Alligator mississippiensis: one gene and its partner. Each later gene encodes a partner of the first gene's protein in a complex. Links are inferred from orthologs where the notes say so. Each region holds a gene or a part of one and is shown on either strand. Other genes may lie near its edges.

The links.
Region 2: LAMTOR1 (region 1) and LAMTOR3 share a complex: the UniProt entries of both Homo sapiens proteins name them as parts of the ragulator complex. The link is inferred for Alligator mississippiensis from reciprocal best matches to the Homo sapiens genes LAMTOR1 and LAMTOR3.

The regions. Positions count from the first base shown.
Region 1 is NC_081824.1:477,691,586-477,699,043, forward strand, and holds the start of LAMTOR1 (ragulator complex protein LAMTOR1), read right to left. Parts: upstream 3,214-7,458; 5' UTR 3,057-3,213; coding exon 3,015-3,056; intron 1-3,014. UniProt on the Homo sapiens protein: Key component of the Ragulator complex, a multiprotein complex involved in amino acid sensing and activation of mTORC1, a signaling complex promoting cell growth in response to growth factors, energy levels, and amino acids.
Region 2 is NC_081825.1:161,212,074-161,219,698, forward strand, and holds the start of LAMTOR3 (ragulator complex protein LAMTOR3), read right to left. Parts: upstream 3,210-7,625; 5' UTR 3,071-3,209; intron 3,065-3,070; exon of another isoform or gene 2,905-3,064; 5' UTR 2,865-2,904; coding exon of another isoform or gene 2,856-2,864; intron 2,566-2,855; coding exon of another isoform or gene 2,531-2,565; intron 2,366-2,530; exon of another isoform or gene 1,791-2,365; 5' UTR 480-1,790; coding exon 374-479; intron 1-373. UniProt on the Homo sapiens protein: As part of the Ragulator complex it is involved in amino acid sensing and activation of mTORC1, a signaling complex promoting cell growth in response to growth factors, energy levels, and amino acids.

The DNA of each region.
Region 1 (7,458 bases):
GTGCACAGGGGTCTAAAGTGGGGGTTTTGGGGAGTCCTTGAGGGCAGCCTGCAAATGCAGAGGGATAGACTCAATGGTCTCCCAGCCACTGGGCAGCACTTGTGCTCCCTGCTGTGACGCTTTTGATGACTAGTACCTCCCAGGGCATGCTGTACGCCTGCCCACTCAACAGCCGTAGCAGAGCTGTGCAGTTCCAGCCAAAGCCAGCTGAAGTTGTGCAACTGCCTTGCAGTCTAGTGGCTTCCCTGTGGCAGCAGCTGACTGCAGATGAGCCCTTGGTTACTTCCCATTTTGGAGGGGGCCACAACAGCCGGAGACTTCCGTAGGGCCCGTGCTGCCCAGGCAGGAAACAGGCCCAGCTGGTGTCATATCATGGGCCCCAGGCACCAGAGAGAAGCCCACCCTGGAGAAGGGAGAGCTCACGCCTCTCAGCTGCTTCCTCCCCATGTTTCACTGCCTGGGCCTCGTCACTTACTATAAGAGCACGGGACAGTGTTTTATGCCTATACTTGAGGGGTGGAAAAGTGCAGAACACGGACCCATGCCGATATGCACACGCATCCGCTCCCAAGGCTGTGACAAGCCACCCTGAACCCAACCCCCATCTGCTCCAGTCCGAGGGGCTCTGGGGAGGCAGCGTCTAGGCCCAGGCAGTGCCAGGAACATCCACGCAGCGGAAGGACTGAAAAGGCAGGTCCGGATCCTGTATGGGTGAAAGTTCTGCCTTTCCTGCTAGGGAAGAAGGGGCCAAGCTTGGGTTTGCACAGCTGAATAATGAGAGCTTGCAAGGGTGTGTCCTGCACCAACTACACATGAACGCCCTCAAATGTGTGTACGGGCAGGCCTAGGAGGGGAGGAATTCAGAGAGGTATCAGGGCCATCAGCTCCAGCAAAGCAGGCTCAGGCAGTCTAGGCAATCAACTAAACTCTCCGGACAAAGGGCAAATAAGTGTCTGGCCCGGTTGGTCTCCATGGTGATTCTGCACAGCTGAAGTAAGGAAATTAAGGAAGGTTTAGAGACAAATGCAGAGCGAGACTTTCCAGTAGCAAGCTTGAGCAAGCTGTTCCACCACTGACTAAGCACTGGGTTTCCAGTACCTCCTTGGGATGGCTCAACTGTCACCAGACCAGCAGAAGGGGCCAGTTTCAGTCACCAGGTGCTTGGTAAAGCCAGCTGGATCGTGACCTAGTCAAGACAAGCCCTTGCACTGGGTTTGCCTATACACCTCCACCCCGCTTCACTCCTGTTGCAACTCGGGTGTGCCCCATTCAAAGCCAGACCACATCACCAGAGCCTCAAAAACAAGAGTCCTTTCAAGCTCTCAGCAAAGGAAACACAGCTCTGATTGAGGAGCAGCCTTGCTGCCAAGTCAGTCATTAATTAACCCTAGAATATTATTACCATCTCCATCCTTCTGGCAATCCCACTATCTCCAATGTCACTGGATAGCTGTCGATTAGGTGCTATGAGACGCAATCTGGGGTCTTCCTGGGACAGATTTAAGCAGCAGCTCCTGTCTGTCCAACATGCATGCACTGACTTCACACAGGGGGCAGCTTCTTACCCCCTGAAGCCAGGTAAATACCACTGTGTGCAAGGCTTGGAGGAGATGGGGTATCCTGCATTTGGCTGGTTTCCCTACATCAGTTGCTGGCTAATCTACCAAGAACAAGGTCCAAATCTCTGCCCCACGCTTGCACCTAGAAGTCTATCTGGACCGGGATGTGCAGGCCGTCACCGAACGCAAGCAAGCACGTTCCAGAACCGCAGCGGTCCTTCCGGTGCATGTTGAACTCAAACCAACGCTCCTTACAAATATCTGATTCCCACTAACTGGTGGCCACACTTAAAACTTATTTTACATTCAGAGAGGTCCTGAGCTCATTCATTTGGGAAAAGGCCAGAAGACCAGGATAAAACATAACTCCCACAGAGCGAAGGAAGATGCTGTCTGCGGTCCTCCCATCTCACTTTTGCAGCCGCTTTGTTCCAATAGGAAGGACCAGCTGAACCAGATTTTGTCCACAGGGTTACCCATCCCACTCCCAAAACCCACCACGCACTGCCAGCCAACCCCAGGCAGCTCTGCGAGAGCCACCTGTAAGCGTGCAAAGGGAACACCGTCTCCAAGGCTCAAGCCGGTCTCTGTCGAGGCTGCCAACCAGGGGATTTAATTAGCGTCAGCTCTGCTGAAGGGTTTGGCAAAGCCGACGCCAGCTTACCGGGAATTTAAAGGAGGCCCCTAAACTTCTTGCACAGCTACGAATCTGCCGTCACACCGGCACTACTGGCAACTCGTGCTGGGTTCGAACCAGCGCGCCGACAAGGAAAGGGCCAGGGACGAGCGGCGGTGGGGCCCAGCTCCGTGCCACTGTAGGCACGAGGCCTCCGAGCCCTGGTGAACCCAAGCCGAGCACCCCGACCAGCAGCGCGGAGGGCAAGCAGTGGAAAGAGGCGGCCTGCTCCCTCATTTTCTGGCACCAGAAACGACCCAGCAGCGGAGGCTCCCCCCGCTCGCCCCGCAGCCTGTAACGCAGCGACCGGGGGAGGAAGGGACCCGACCGACCAGGTGCTGCCTTCGCTTGCCCACAGCAGCCGCAGAGGAAACCCGCCCCCTTCCGAAGGGAAAAGCCTCCGTCTCCACCAGGGTCAGGGCAGACCCACCCCATGGCCCCGGCCCCGCCCCGCCTCCTAGGTCACCCCGCAGGGTGGCAAGCCCTGACTGAGAGCCCCACCCCCCTCCGCCCACGCACCAGCCCACCACGCACGCGGGGGCACCCTCCCCCCCAAGCCCGCAGCGCTGCTCCCAACCTCGCCCCCCCCCCCCCCCCCGGGGCGAGCAGCCTCCTGCCCCGCGCCCCCTCCCCGTGCCAAGTCCCTCCCTTGAGGCCTCAAGCCCCCCCTCCCCAAGGGCCTACCCATCCCCCCCCCTTCAGGGACCCCTCTAGGCCCCTCCCATCCGAGGGTCTCCCACCCAAACCCTCCCCTCCCCCTTCAGGGACCCCTCCCCCACCTGGTCGGAGGCCTCGTTCTCGCTGCTGTAGCAGCACCCCATGGCCGGGCCGAGCCGGGCCGGGCCGGGAGGCGGGGGCGGGGGGCGCTGTCCGGCTGGGCCCGGCCGCCCCGGTCACATGAGCCCTCGCTCCAACAACAAGCGGGAGGGAGGAGATGGGGTGGGTGAAGTGGGGGGGGGGGAAAAGAGGCGGCCACTCCCCCCGGCCCCACTCCGCCGCTTCCGGGCACGTGACCCGCCTGCCGCTCCCCCGGCACGTGACCGGCGGGGAGGGGGAGAGAGAGCGAGAGAGAGAGAGAGAGAGAGAGAGAGAGACAGAGAGAGGGGGGCCAATCGGCGCGCTCCGCTGGGGGTCACGTGGCGAGGGAGGCCGGAGCCCGGCGGGGGGGGGGAACCGGCCGCGCGTCCCTTGGGTCACGTGATAGGGGGCAGGGCTATAGAAGAGCCTGGGGCTGCGTGGGGTGCTTTCAGACAGGGTGTCTGGGTTAACTGGGGCTTCAGCGCCTCCAAGGGTGGAGACTCTTTCTTCTGTTTGACTCCTAAGTGAGGGAGTTTTTCCAGCCTCAACTTTCCTTGCTGCAGCCTGTGCCCATTGCCCCTTGTCCTGCCAGCTGGCCCTGCTGAGCGCAGCCCAACTCTGTCCTCTTTGCAACCCCCCCCCACCCACCACCCTTGGGGTGCAGGTGTCTGAGAGGGAGACTTGCACTTGCTTCTCTGGATGCACCCGGGACCGTGGTGTCCTGGATTGGTTTCCCCCACCCAGAGAGTGGCAGGGGCACCTTGCGAAACCTGCTGGGGAGCGCCTGCACTACATGCAGCGGTTAAATGCAATGGTTAGCGTGGGTTTTTTTCTTTTTTTACTGTACTCCCCTGCACATGACGTGAATGAAGACAAAAAAAGGTCTTTCCTGTTGTAAGTCACTGAGTCGCAGCAGCTAAGGAGCCCAACCCGGTTCGTTCTTCCGCTCTCGGTGGATGGGGTGGCTTGTGCCACGTGGACGCTTCAGTGACTGAAACTGCTATTGCCATATTTCTTTGCCTACAACGTGCACCCCTATTCCCAGCCCCTGCTTTTTGGGGGAAATGGCGTGTGTTGTACGTGAGCCGATGCAGGGATTCCTGTGTTTAACGAAGCCAAACCCCAGCTGTGGGGGGCAGGTCTGGAGCTGGCACACCTCTGTGCTGAGGAACCTCCTGTGTCTCCAGAGCAGGAAGGGAAATTTGGGTGATGCACCTGACTGTCCCCATTCGATCAACAGGACACACAACTGCTGCACGTGGTAAATGGAGCGCAGGCAGCCTCGGGCTGAGCTTTATTTACAGTGGCCTGGAGGTCCGGCTCCTCTGCTCCTTGCTGCTCCTTTCCAAGCAGAGGGCAGGCTGGTGTGGCTGTTTCCCTCTTTCACTTCCCCTAACCCCAGCTCATCCTAGTGCTTCCTTCCTTGCCTTGTAAAAGGTCTGTTCTCCACCGAGGCTGTGAGGCTCCGAGGCAGGAGAAGCAGAGTGGATTTCAGTTTTACCCTTCTCTCCGTCCTGTGAGCCACAGAGCTTGTTCCTCTTCGGCCTCCCACATGGGCCACATCTCCTGCTTGCTATTTCCAGCCGCTAACCGGAGAGGCCCTGCCTGCTCTTGCATATTTCCCTGGTGAGAGAGAGAAAATCGAGTCCGTGATCATCCCCAGGAACCGCATCCTGGTCCTTTGGAGCTACTGGAAGTGTCTGGGCATTGTTGCTCTCTGCATGAGCTTGCATCACAGATCAATGCATCATGCACACCTACACGTGTGTATCCTGAGAGAGCACGCTCTAGTCCTGCCTTCGAGAGCTTTTAGCAGACCTCTTTGTGCGTGCCGAGGCAGTAACTGCTCTCCGTTAGCTTGCTGAATAGAGGCCTGGGATCTCCGAGCCGATGGGAAACGGGACTTGCAGCCAGTCAGTTGGATGCTTTGCAGATAGGAATTTATCACCACAGTTGCCTGAGGCAGCAGCCGTTTTCTGTACAGAGATGACCAGCACCTGACCCTTTCTCATGCACTGTCATGCCATTCTCTAGGGAGCTGAAGTTCCCCATCTTTTTCTTCTCTTCATGTCACTACACCACATTTGACCGGGTTTTTTTTGTTACGCATGCTTCTGCTCATTTTTTCTACTTTGCGGGATCTCTTACTTTACACGTGCCTTCAAGCAGCAGGCATTGCAGCATGTGTTGCATAGTCTGAGGCTCTGTGCTGCAGTCACAGGTGGGGTTGACCCAATGGCATATCCTCACTTCTTCGTTAGTTCCTTGGAGTATCCAACTCTGGTACGCAGGCGGTTGAGACATTGCCACCTTTGCCATGGTTCGTCAGCCCCCCGGTGCCAAGAACTCAGCTGCTGGAACGTCCATTTTTTTGGTTTGGGGGGGGGGGGTTCCAGCCTCATAGCAGAAGCATTCACGTTGTGACCCCTGTCAGCTAATCCCTGGTAATCCCTGCAAATTCTGCTAATGCTCCAAACCATGATTTTGATGTTCCCCATAATAAGCTGTGACTCTCATTAGCCTTGCAGAGCTGAAATACTGACAGGAGAGGGAGCTGTTTTCCATCCTGGCTCTCAAGATTGCCGGCTGGGCGCAAACTGGACAGATCACAGACCCCTGGGAGAGCAGTGGGGCTGGAAGAGACCTCACGTCTGGTCCAACCCCCTGCCTGAGGTAGCATCAGCCCTGTCCAAACCATCCCAGGCAAATTCACTGTCCAACCTCTGAGCAAAACAACAGTCACCGGACACAGCACCAGGCATCGCACCCAACCCTGCCGCAGGGAAGGCAAGAGGGACTGCGGCTGCCAACGTTTGACAGTGCAGTCTCAAGGGACACTGTCAAGGACACATGGTGCTTCTGTGCCAGAGCTAGAGCAGTTCCCAGCTACAGAAGCCTCATTCCTCTGCCCTTTGGACGCTCCTAGGTGAAGGCCAAAAAGGAAGGGGGATTTTCTGTCTGGCAGTAGCTTGCAGAAATGCCTGCTCAAGGGTTGTGGTGGGAAGCCCCTAGGAACCAAAGTGTGTCTGTCTTAACTGGGGAGATTTTGTCCCTGTTCCAAACCAGGGTCTCTTCCCTAGATGCCTGTTTGGGCACCGCTGCACTGAGGCAGTTACCTCCAGCCCCAGGAACCCTGTCTCGGGGCAGGCCTGTCTAAACAGCCCTGGACAAGGCAGTGAAAATGCCCTGCAGAGCACTCCCCTGGACTAGGGAGCCCCTTGTTCCCCGGACCATCAGGAGCTGTAGCTAGAAGGCTACATCATTTCCCAGCCCAGTCAAGAACTCATAGAAAATTCAGGTTGGAAGGGACCTCAGGAGGTCACATCTAGTCCAACCCCCTGTCAAGCTGGGTCTTCAAAACCTCCAAGGATGGAGACTCTACCACCGCTCTGGGGAGCCTGTTCCAGTGCTTTAGTACCCTCCCCATGAGAACATTTTCCTTAATATCCAACCTCAACTTCCCTTGCTGCAGCCTGAGCCCGTTGCTCCTTGTCCTGTCATGTGCCCCCACTGAGAATAGTGCAGCTCCATCCTCTTTGCAACCCCCTGCAGGGAGTTGGAGGCTGCTATTCAATCCCCCTCGGTCTTCTCTCAGTCATGGTGGGGGAATCAGCCAAGATCCCAGGAAGGTCCCATGCGCCTGCAATTCCAGCCCTGCCATGACCACACTGAGAGCAGCGTGTAATTGAAGCTTTTGGCTCAAGTCACTGGCTAATTACACGACTGTCCTGCTCTGATTCATGCCTGGAGAGTCCTGTAACTTTCCCTTTCTTCCCCAAAGCAATTTCCTCTGAAGTCCAGTGAGTACCAGGTCACGAGGGCAAGGATAAAACATAGCAATGCTTCTTTCACCTGCTGAAGGGCCGGAGGCTGAATGCATGGGTCTGGACCTCTTTGCAGACCCTGGCTCTGGTTAAATGATGGGTAAAATTAATCTCTTTAGTGTATTGACCGCCTTTCTGCTGCTTGATGCTTGTCCACCTCCCAATGCTGCTGTGAAACAGGGTTGGCATGAGAGACTTGGGTGATAGACAACATGAAATTCAACACAGACGAACCAAATAGCCACATGCAGGGCAGTGACCGCTGGAAAGGATGCACTGTGTCCAGCCTGGGGGGCGACGTTTTAAGAAGGACGTAGAGAAGCTGGAGGGGATCCAGAGGCGAGCAATGATGATGCTAAAGGGGCTGCAGTGCCGCTATATAAAAAAAGAATGAGGATGAGGTGTGGTTTGGAGGACAGGAGACGGAGCAGGGGTCAGAGGCTGCTGGAAAGCAAAAGAGACTGGCAGTGCCCCCAGCTGAACAGGGCAGGGTCTGAGGCAATGGGTTTGTTGAGAGCAGGGCTCAGGAAGGACTTCCCACCCATTGGGGCCACAGGGCACTGAGACAAACTGCCTGGGGACGGGGGAATCTCCTCCCCTG
Region 2 (7,625 bases), on another chromosome or scaffold:
TGTAACTTTTGTTAATTTTCAGAACTGGGTGCCACTAAACTAATTTATATATTTTAGCGCTTACCTCCTTGTAGAGAGGCCTGGGAGTAGGGGGTTGAGGGATCATTTAGGCAGGGACAAGCCTGGGCCTGCATTTATCTACTCAAGCTATCTGCTTCTCTCCTTACACCCTTGCTTATTTTCTCACACTTCATGGCACCCTTCAAAGAATCAACTCCCCAGCTGAGAATCACTGGTTTTGACACAGACCTCCGGAAAGGCAGGATCATTTAATCTAGCGCTCCCTCTTAGCCCCCAGCCTTATTTTTCTTAAGAAAACAAAAAACCACTACTCCAAAAAAACCCTACACAACCATTAGAAGTTGTGAATTACCTTTGATAACAGGCACACCATCTCTGTCTGAGACTACAATAGCATGAAGACCTTCAACACTGTAAAAAGAGAGAAAAAGAACATGAGCATTGGGGAGAATTTCCATCCCAGCCTCCTCCCCGTCTTCCTTTCACCAGTTCTTTTTTTTCCTCAGCATTGTCCCCTTACCCATCTACCAACTCTGCTTATGTGCCTGGGGACAGGTACCAGGGTGGGGGCTTAAGCTTGCTATTGTTTTAGCAAGGACCTCATGACTAGAGGTGGAGGTAGGAGCCCTGCCCCTCTGCTCCGTAACCAGTGATGCACTTCAAGTTGGCTGGCTGGGAGCCACCAAGTGACGGCCTTCACTGGATCAGGTACATGATGTCAAAAGGCCTATATATGCCAAGACTGCCCAGGAGGAGGGGTTGTAGCCATGATGAAGACACAGAGCAGCTGAACATCTGCAGCTCTCTCATCATGTGGACACACTACAAACTGTCTGCCTCCAAAGCAACGCTCTATCAGCCTCTGGATGATACTTGAGAGTAAACCACTCGGAACCCAACTAAATATATAGCCTGTAGATCACGCACTTGTGTTACAAAAGCGACCTTGCCACTGTTTACTTAAGAGTTATTTTGTAGTATTTCTCTATCCTGCACCCTCCCCCAAGCCTCCCCTTTGTAACCAATAAAGTTCTTCACTGTATTAAGTCTGGTGGACTTGTTGGGAGAGGCATGCCTTTGTGCCCCCTTGGTCCGGCTGACTAAGGGAGGCTGCTTTTGTGCTTCAGGCTAAAGGAAGCACCCCAAGCTTTTACAGTGGGTTGAGTACCCTCAAGGACTACACGGTGTGTGTACGCAACCCTGGGCAGTGGCGGGGGTAAATGCCAAGCTAGCGGATATGCTCCAGGAAGGGGGTCAGCCAGATGTGAGGCATCCCCAGGGAGGCATTTGAAGGGTGGTAGGTGGTCAGGCGCAGTGAGGTGGGTGGCTCAGTGCAGGAGTGCCCCCTACTGGCCTGCCACAAAGTACACAAAAGCAAGTGTGAGTAAACTGCAAGGAAAAAGGATGTCACCACATTCCCACTGCTATCACTTAAAGCCTTGCTTAATCAAACAGACCTGCAAAATTCACATCGTGCTGTGTTTATGCACATCTTAGAAGTACGAAGGTAACTGTACCAAAAAAAACAAGACCCCTCATGTGGGCCTTTCAGCTTTAGAAGAGGATTACTATGGGAGATGACCCTTAGTGCAGGCTTCACTGCATTTAGAGTCACAGAGCACATCTACTTAGGGATATCAATCAATACCTTAGGCTAGCTACTTGCAGTTATGAGAAACAGAAGTTACCAAGAACCGCCGATCCTTAAAGAAACAAAACAGACGTTTCCCTTGAGTTCAGTAAGTTATCCGTTCTAGCATACTGTTTCCCTGTAGCGCACAATGAAAAGCAGGTTTGAGCTGTGTTGTGTTAAGGTTGATGGTAGTCTCATGTAGAATTCAGATAATGGATTGCATGGGGTGGCTGAGATAGGGATGATCCTGCCTCATGCAGGGGGTTGGACTAGATGGCCTCTGGAGGTCCCTTCCAGCCCTATACCTCAGCCTACTTCAAGGATGTGGGCGTCTTGTGGGTAGAGTACTACATTTTGAGCTGGCAGGGTCTATTTAAGTACTGAACTGAGTAAACACATGTGCTTTTGTGCCCAAAGACACTCTGTTAGAATGACTCCATCGTGGGGTACTGCAGCACTTTACAGAACACCCAGTGGCTCTTGAAGCATCCTGACAGCACAGACAATACAGTGAGCTCTGCTGCAGGCAGAACAGTGACTCAAATTAAATAGCAGCACACACTCTTCACAGAGCAGCACCAGGGATGATCCACCGCAGGAAATTCTGAGGAAGTCACATGACTGCCCACCATGCCCCTAGATGACACACGACACCCTGCCACACCTCCAGAGGACATGTAACACCCCAGCCTCCCTCCCCCCACAGAAGAGAACATGCTGCACCCGTCAAATTCCTGGGATGCTGTGCTGCTGCCCCCACCTGGAGGCCAGGTGGTGCCCACTCCCCCCATGTAACACCACATGCACCACCCCCCCAAAGGCCACGGGACCTCCCCCATCCACAGACCAGGAGGCCACATGATGCACGTGTGTTACCTTGGTAGCTTTTTGTACAGGAACCTTTTCAGGTCCTAGAAAGAGAGAAAAGCATGGCACAGTTCAGCTGCAGGGTCCTGGCCAGCACACGCCTGTGCCCCAAGTGTAAAACTACTTAAGAAGGGGTGTTTCCTGGTGAGGAGGGGAGGTTCCTCATCCCTTCTTCTGGGGGGGCAGCCCCCGAGAGCAAATCTGCTTCACCTCCAGGCGGGGACTCCTGGCACCAGCTCAGCCACGCGGGGAGACCTCCCCCACCACCCCTCTCCCCGGTGCAGACAGCTGGGGAGGGAGGCCGCGCCCCCCAGGCCCCTGCCCCCGCACTCACGTCGGCCATGCTGCGGCGCCTCCGCTCCGCCGTGCTGCGGCCGCTGCTTCTACAACACAAGCGCCGCGGGTCACGACCGAGCCGCGGCCCAGAACCGCCGCCGGAGCCACAGGCCAGGCCTGCCCCGGGGGTAGGAGGAGGCTTGCCCGTCGGGCCCAGCCCCCGCCAGACCCCTTCTGTGGGGAAGGGGAAGGATGGCCCCCAGCCCGCCTCACCCTGGCCACAGGCGGACGGCTCGTCCCGGGCTCGCGCAAAGCAGCCCCGACTCTACTGCTTCCTCTTCGGAAGCGAGTCACATGAGCCGCCACCTCCCTGCCCCGGAAGCGGTTGCCCGCCGCTGCCTCACTTCCGACTTCGGGGAGGACGGGGTGGGAGCTGCGCGCGCCGGGAGGAAGCTACGGGCTGCGGGAGGAGTCATAGCACGCCGGGCCGGGGGCGGCACCGCCTGGGCGTGGCTCGAAGCCGGCGCGCCGCGTCTCCACGGCAACCGCGACGGAGGGGGGCGGGGCCGGGGCCGGGGCCGGGGCCGCTGCCTGGGAAGTAGGCTGAGGCTCGCCCTGGGAAGGGAACGTGGGGCTGGGGGACCGGGCGGGCGCCCTTTGCTGTTTGCTGCTCGAAGGTCCCGTGGCAGGGTGTCAGGTCACCTGTTGTAGGGCCGAGACCGCAGAGTTGGATCACAGATAATTAGGGTTGACAAGGACCTCAGGAGGTCATCTAGTCCAACCCCCAGCTCAGAGCAGGACCAGCCCCGACTGGATCCTCCCAGCCAGGGCTTTGTCTGCCTGGGTTTCAAAAACCTCCCAGGATGGAGTCTGCAGCCTCCCTGGGTAACCTGTTCTCATGTTTTACTAGCCTCCTAGTAAGAGTTTTTCCTAATATCTAACCTAAACTTCCCTTGCTGCAGCTTGAGACTACTGCTCCTTGTTCTGTCACCTGCCACCCCTGAGAACAGTCCAGCTCCATCCTCTTTTGAACCCTCTTCAGGTAGTTAAAGGCTGCTCTCAAATGCCCCCTCAGTCAGGGCTGCAGCCAGGCCAGACCAAATGAGCAGGAGCCACCTCCATGGCCCAGTGGGCAGGACCCGGCGTGGAAGAGCAGTATGCTGCCATGACCTCCAAGGTGAGGCACCCCTTGCCCACCCAGCAGCAGGCCCAGGCCCAACTCCATGCTGCTGCACCTGTTTGGTCTCTGGTAGCACAGCGCTCCCTCCCACACTGGGTCCTGCCTGCTGTACTGCAGAGGCGGATCCTACTTGGAGCTGGTCTAGCCAGGCTGCAACCCCACACCCTGTTGTGGGCACAGAAATCCAAGGCGGACATACCCCCACTCCCCGCCACATCGCTTGTGCCTACCTCCAACCTGTTGCCTACGCCCATACACCCCCTTCCCCACACATGCACTTTGTTCCCCATACACCCACCCCCTTCCTCACACACTTGGGGGAGCTGGGGCCTGCGGGTGGGGGGCAGCAGGTCATGAGCGAGGGGCACTAGGAGGGCTGTAGGCTGGGAGTGAGGGGCAGCGGCATATTAGGGCTGCTCAGTGCCATAAAGCAGCAGGGGGCGGGCAACCACTACTGGACCCATGTTCTGATGAGTGAAGGGGGAGGGGGAGTTCTGATTTTCCATAATAAAAAAACAAAATCATATGCCAAAATATATAGGTATTTAGAATTTATTATAATGACTGAGGCGCTGGTAGGCTTTCAAATTGCTTTAGAATAGTAAATATATCAGCAAAATGTGGTGTTCAACTGATCCCTATAGAGTGTCATTTCATTTTAATTGTGTAAAAACACAGATTTTGGGGTTTATAGTCAGAGAGATTTGGATTTTTAAATAGAAAAAACCAGGATCTCTGTTCATAACCCATTCCTTTTGTCATAGTTCCTACCTACTGTATAAAATTCAGTAAAAGCTATAGGCACAGACAGTTTTTTTTGTGATCATGTATGCCACTCAACTAAACAGCATTTGTTTTAAGAAATCTAATTACTTTATTAATAAAAACAGCAATTAGGATGAAAATCAGATTATCTAATTAGAGAAGACAAGTGTGGCTGTTTAATGCCCTTTTCATTTTTCTCCCAAAATTTAAAAATAATTTTGAACTGTAAGGCAGATTTTCCAGATGAGGTTTATATTTCAGTGTCATTTATTGTTTTAAATTACAGATATTTGCAGTTATCTACTCCTTTGCAGGACTGAAATATGTAGTCATCATTATAAACAAACCTTCCCCCAACATGACAAAATTAGGTTTTAGATTTTTTTTTGTGTAACTCATTTCCATTATGAACTGCTGTGTATTCACTTTTATATGAAAGAGCTTATAGGCTATCTGGTTAGTTACATACGCTAAGCAGACATGTTGGATTATACTAAACCCCTACAGCTTCAGTTCATTGTAAAGTATAAAACTAATTCCCACCTCAGCACACAGAAGGACATTTGTGTACTGTCACTCTAGTACATAATTTTTTAATTCAAAAGTGACAGCTATAATTCCTTCTTCAGAAGCATATACAATTATAACTTTGGTATTTTTTTAACATTAGTTTAGATATGTGCACCAAATACAGGTATTCCTCACTTAATGTTGTCCTGGTTAACATTGTTTCTTTATTACCTCATTAAGCTATTAGAGAACATACTCATTTAAAGTCACATAATGTTCACTTATAACATTGTTTGGCCGCCACCTGCTAGTAGGTAACTACTGTGATGTAACTGTTAACATTGTTTCACTGAAAGTTGGATTTAGCTGTACATAATAATTATGAGCAAAATTAGGGGTGAAATACTAGCCCCACTGAAATCAATAGTAGTACATCATTGACTTCAATGGGGCCAGGATTTCACTTCATGAAATAGTTTATGGTGCATATATAAATAAATCACTGAACACAGTCCTGAGGTCTGCAAGAGGTAGAGCCCTTAATTCTGTATTCATCCCTACAAGTCTTGTTTTTTTCTCTGTCTCTTGACTACTTTTAAACTAACCACAAACTAGCATGTCATGAACACCCAATACTCTTCTTTTTCAAGTCATTTGCCAAAGGAAATATATTGGAATACACTGGAATGTTGTATTTATGAATAATACAATATTATTATAAATAAATTATTATAAATTAAAATTAAACTATAAATAATTAATTAATTATCATTATTATGTTGTTCTCAAATAAGAATCTTTGTTTCAAATAGGTGGTCATCCTTTAGGTAATTACATGCCTGTTTAGAGAAGTCTCAAGTTATAAAATAATCCATAAGGAATGGTAGTATCAAACATCTATCTAGTAGCCATAACATTTTACCCTAAAAAGGACTACTTGATTATTAAGCTGAACATTTTTTATTCTTAGCCTTTAGTTTGTGGTGCTGAGAATACCATAACATCGTTACTTCCTTTTTAAATGCAAACCACTTTTCATGAAGCAAAACTAAAATGGTTAGTCATCAGAGATGTTTTTAACAGGTAAAAAGATAAGATGGTAGCACAGTTTCACACTGAAAATAATTTTATTTTAATATAAGTCTGATATTACATTAGATATATTAGAAATCAGACAAGTATTTTTTTAAAACCTAACCTTTAAATCTTGACTGCGCTACTGAGTTAGACAAAATAATATAAGATCTTTTTTAAGATGCCAACTTCATTTCACTGCATGTCCTTTTGCAAGGCTTCCATTAAATTTATTAGAGGGGTCTTGAGCACAATTTATTTTCAGTTACTGTGGTGCTTGTTTCAAGAGTCTAGAGAACAAATATTCAAGTTCCTTCAGATTTTTAAACCAAGCAATGCTTTTAAAATATCATTGTCTCAGCTGAGCAAGAGCCAGTGCCAGCAGCAGGTTCATAAATGGATTTGAAAATGGCTTAACATTACAGATATTTCATATTTTATTCAAGCTGAGAATTGCTTTTTTACCCTGTCAGCTTTCAGATTGCAGTGCAGAATGAACAGGTATAATTTTCTTTTGAGAACAAATGTTGTAATGAGAATGTCACTCACTCACTGGAAAAAATAAGCCTTTTAAGATCAGTGACAACAGAACCCACCAAAGTTGGATGGATAATTTCTTGGTGCTAATGAAAGCCCTGTTCTGTGCAAACTTACAGAGGTACAATATTAAACAAATCACAAGTTTGAGGTATTAGCTGGATAAAAGTATGTACACCTATACATCTGTGCACATACAATAGTCACAAATCTACTGGCCCCGAGATCAGCAAACCTTGGTATTAAGAGAAAAGAAATCATGTACTGATCAGGGAAATTATACATGCAGAGAAGCTTTAAAAAAAAACACACTTCACAGAATCCTTAATATAAGGAACATTTCTTTTTAACATGCTTAGAAGAAATCAAATAATCTAGAAAAAAAAATCTATTTTAGTAGTGAGGAAGCCTGAAGTGCTCCAGAAAGATTACAAAATCATCTAAAAGATTAGGCCTGGTCCTACATACTGGGTGTATCTACACAAGATGCTAGAAGTGCAGTAGATTAATTCTACTGTGCATTACTGTGTCACGGCGAAAACCATGTTAATGTGCCATACAATTAGTTAACTGCGTATTAGCTTCATGTAAAAGATGTGTGCCAGCGTTACTACGCAGTAGCACAGATTACCATGCATTAATGCATGTGTAGGTGTACTCACTGACACTTAAACGCACAAAAAACCCAAATGTGTATGAAGACTTAAAGGCTGTTTTTTCCTCCCCATTCCAAGCTTTTCATATCTATTTCCTCCTGCCTTC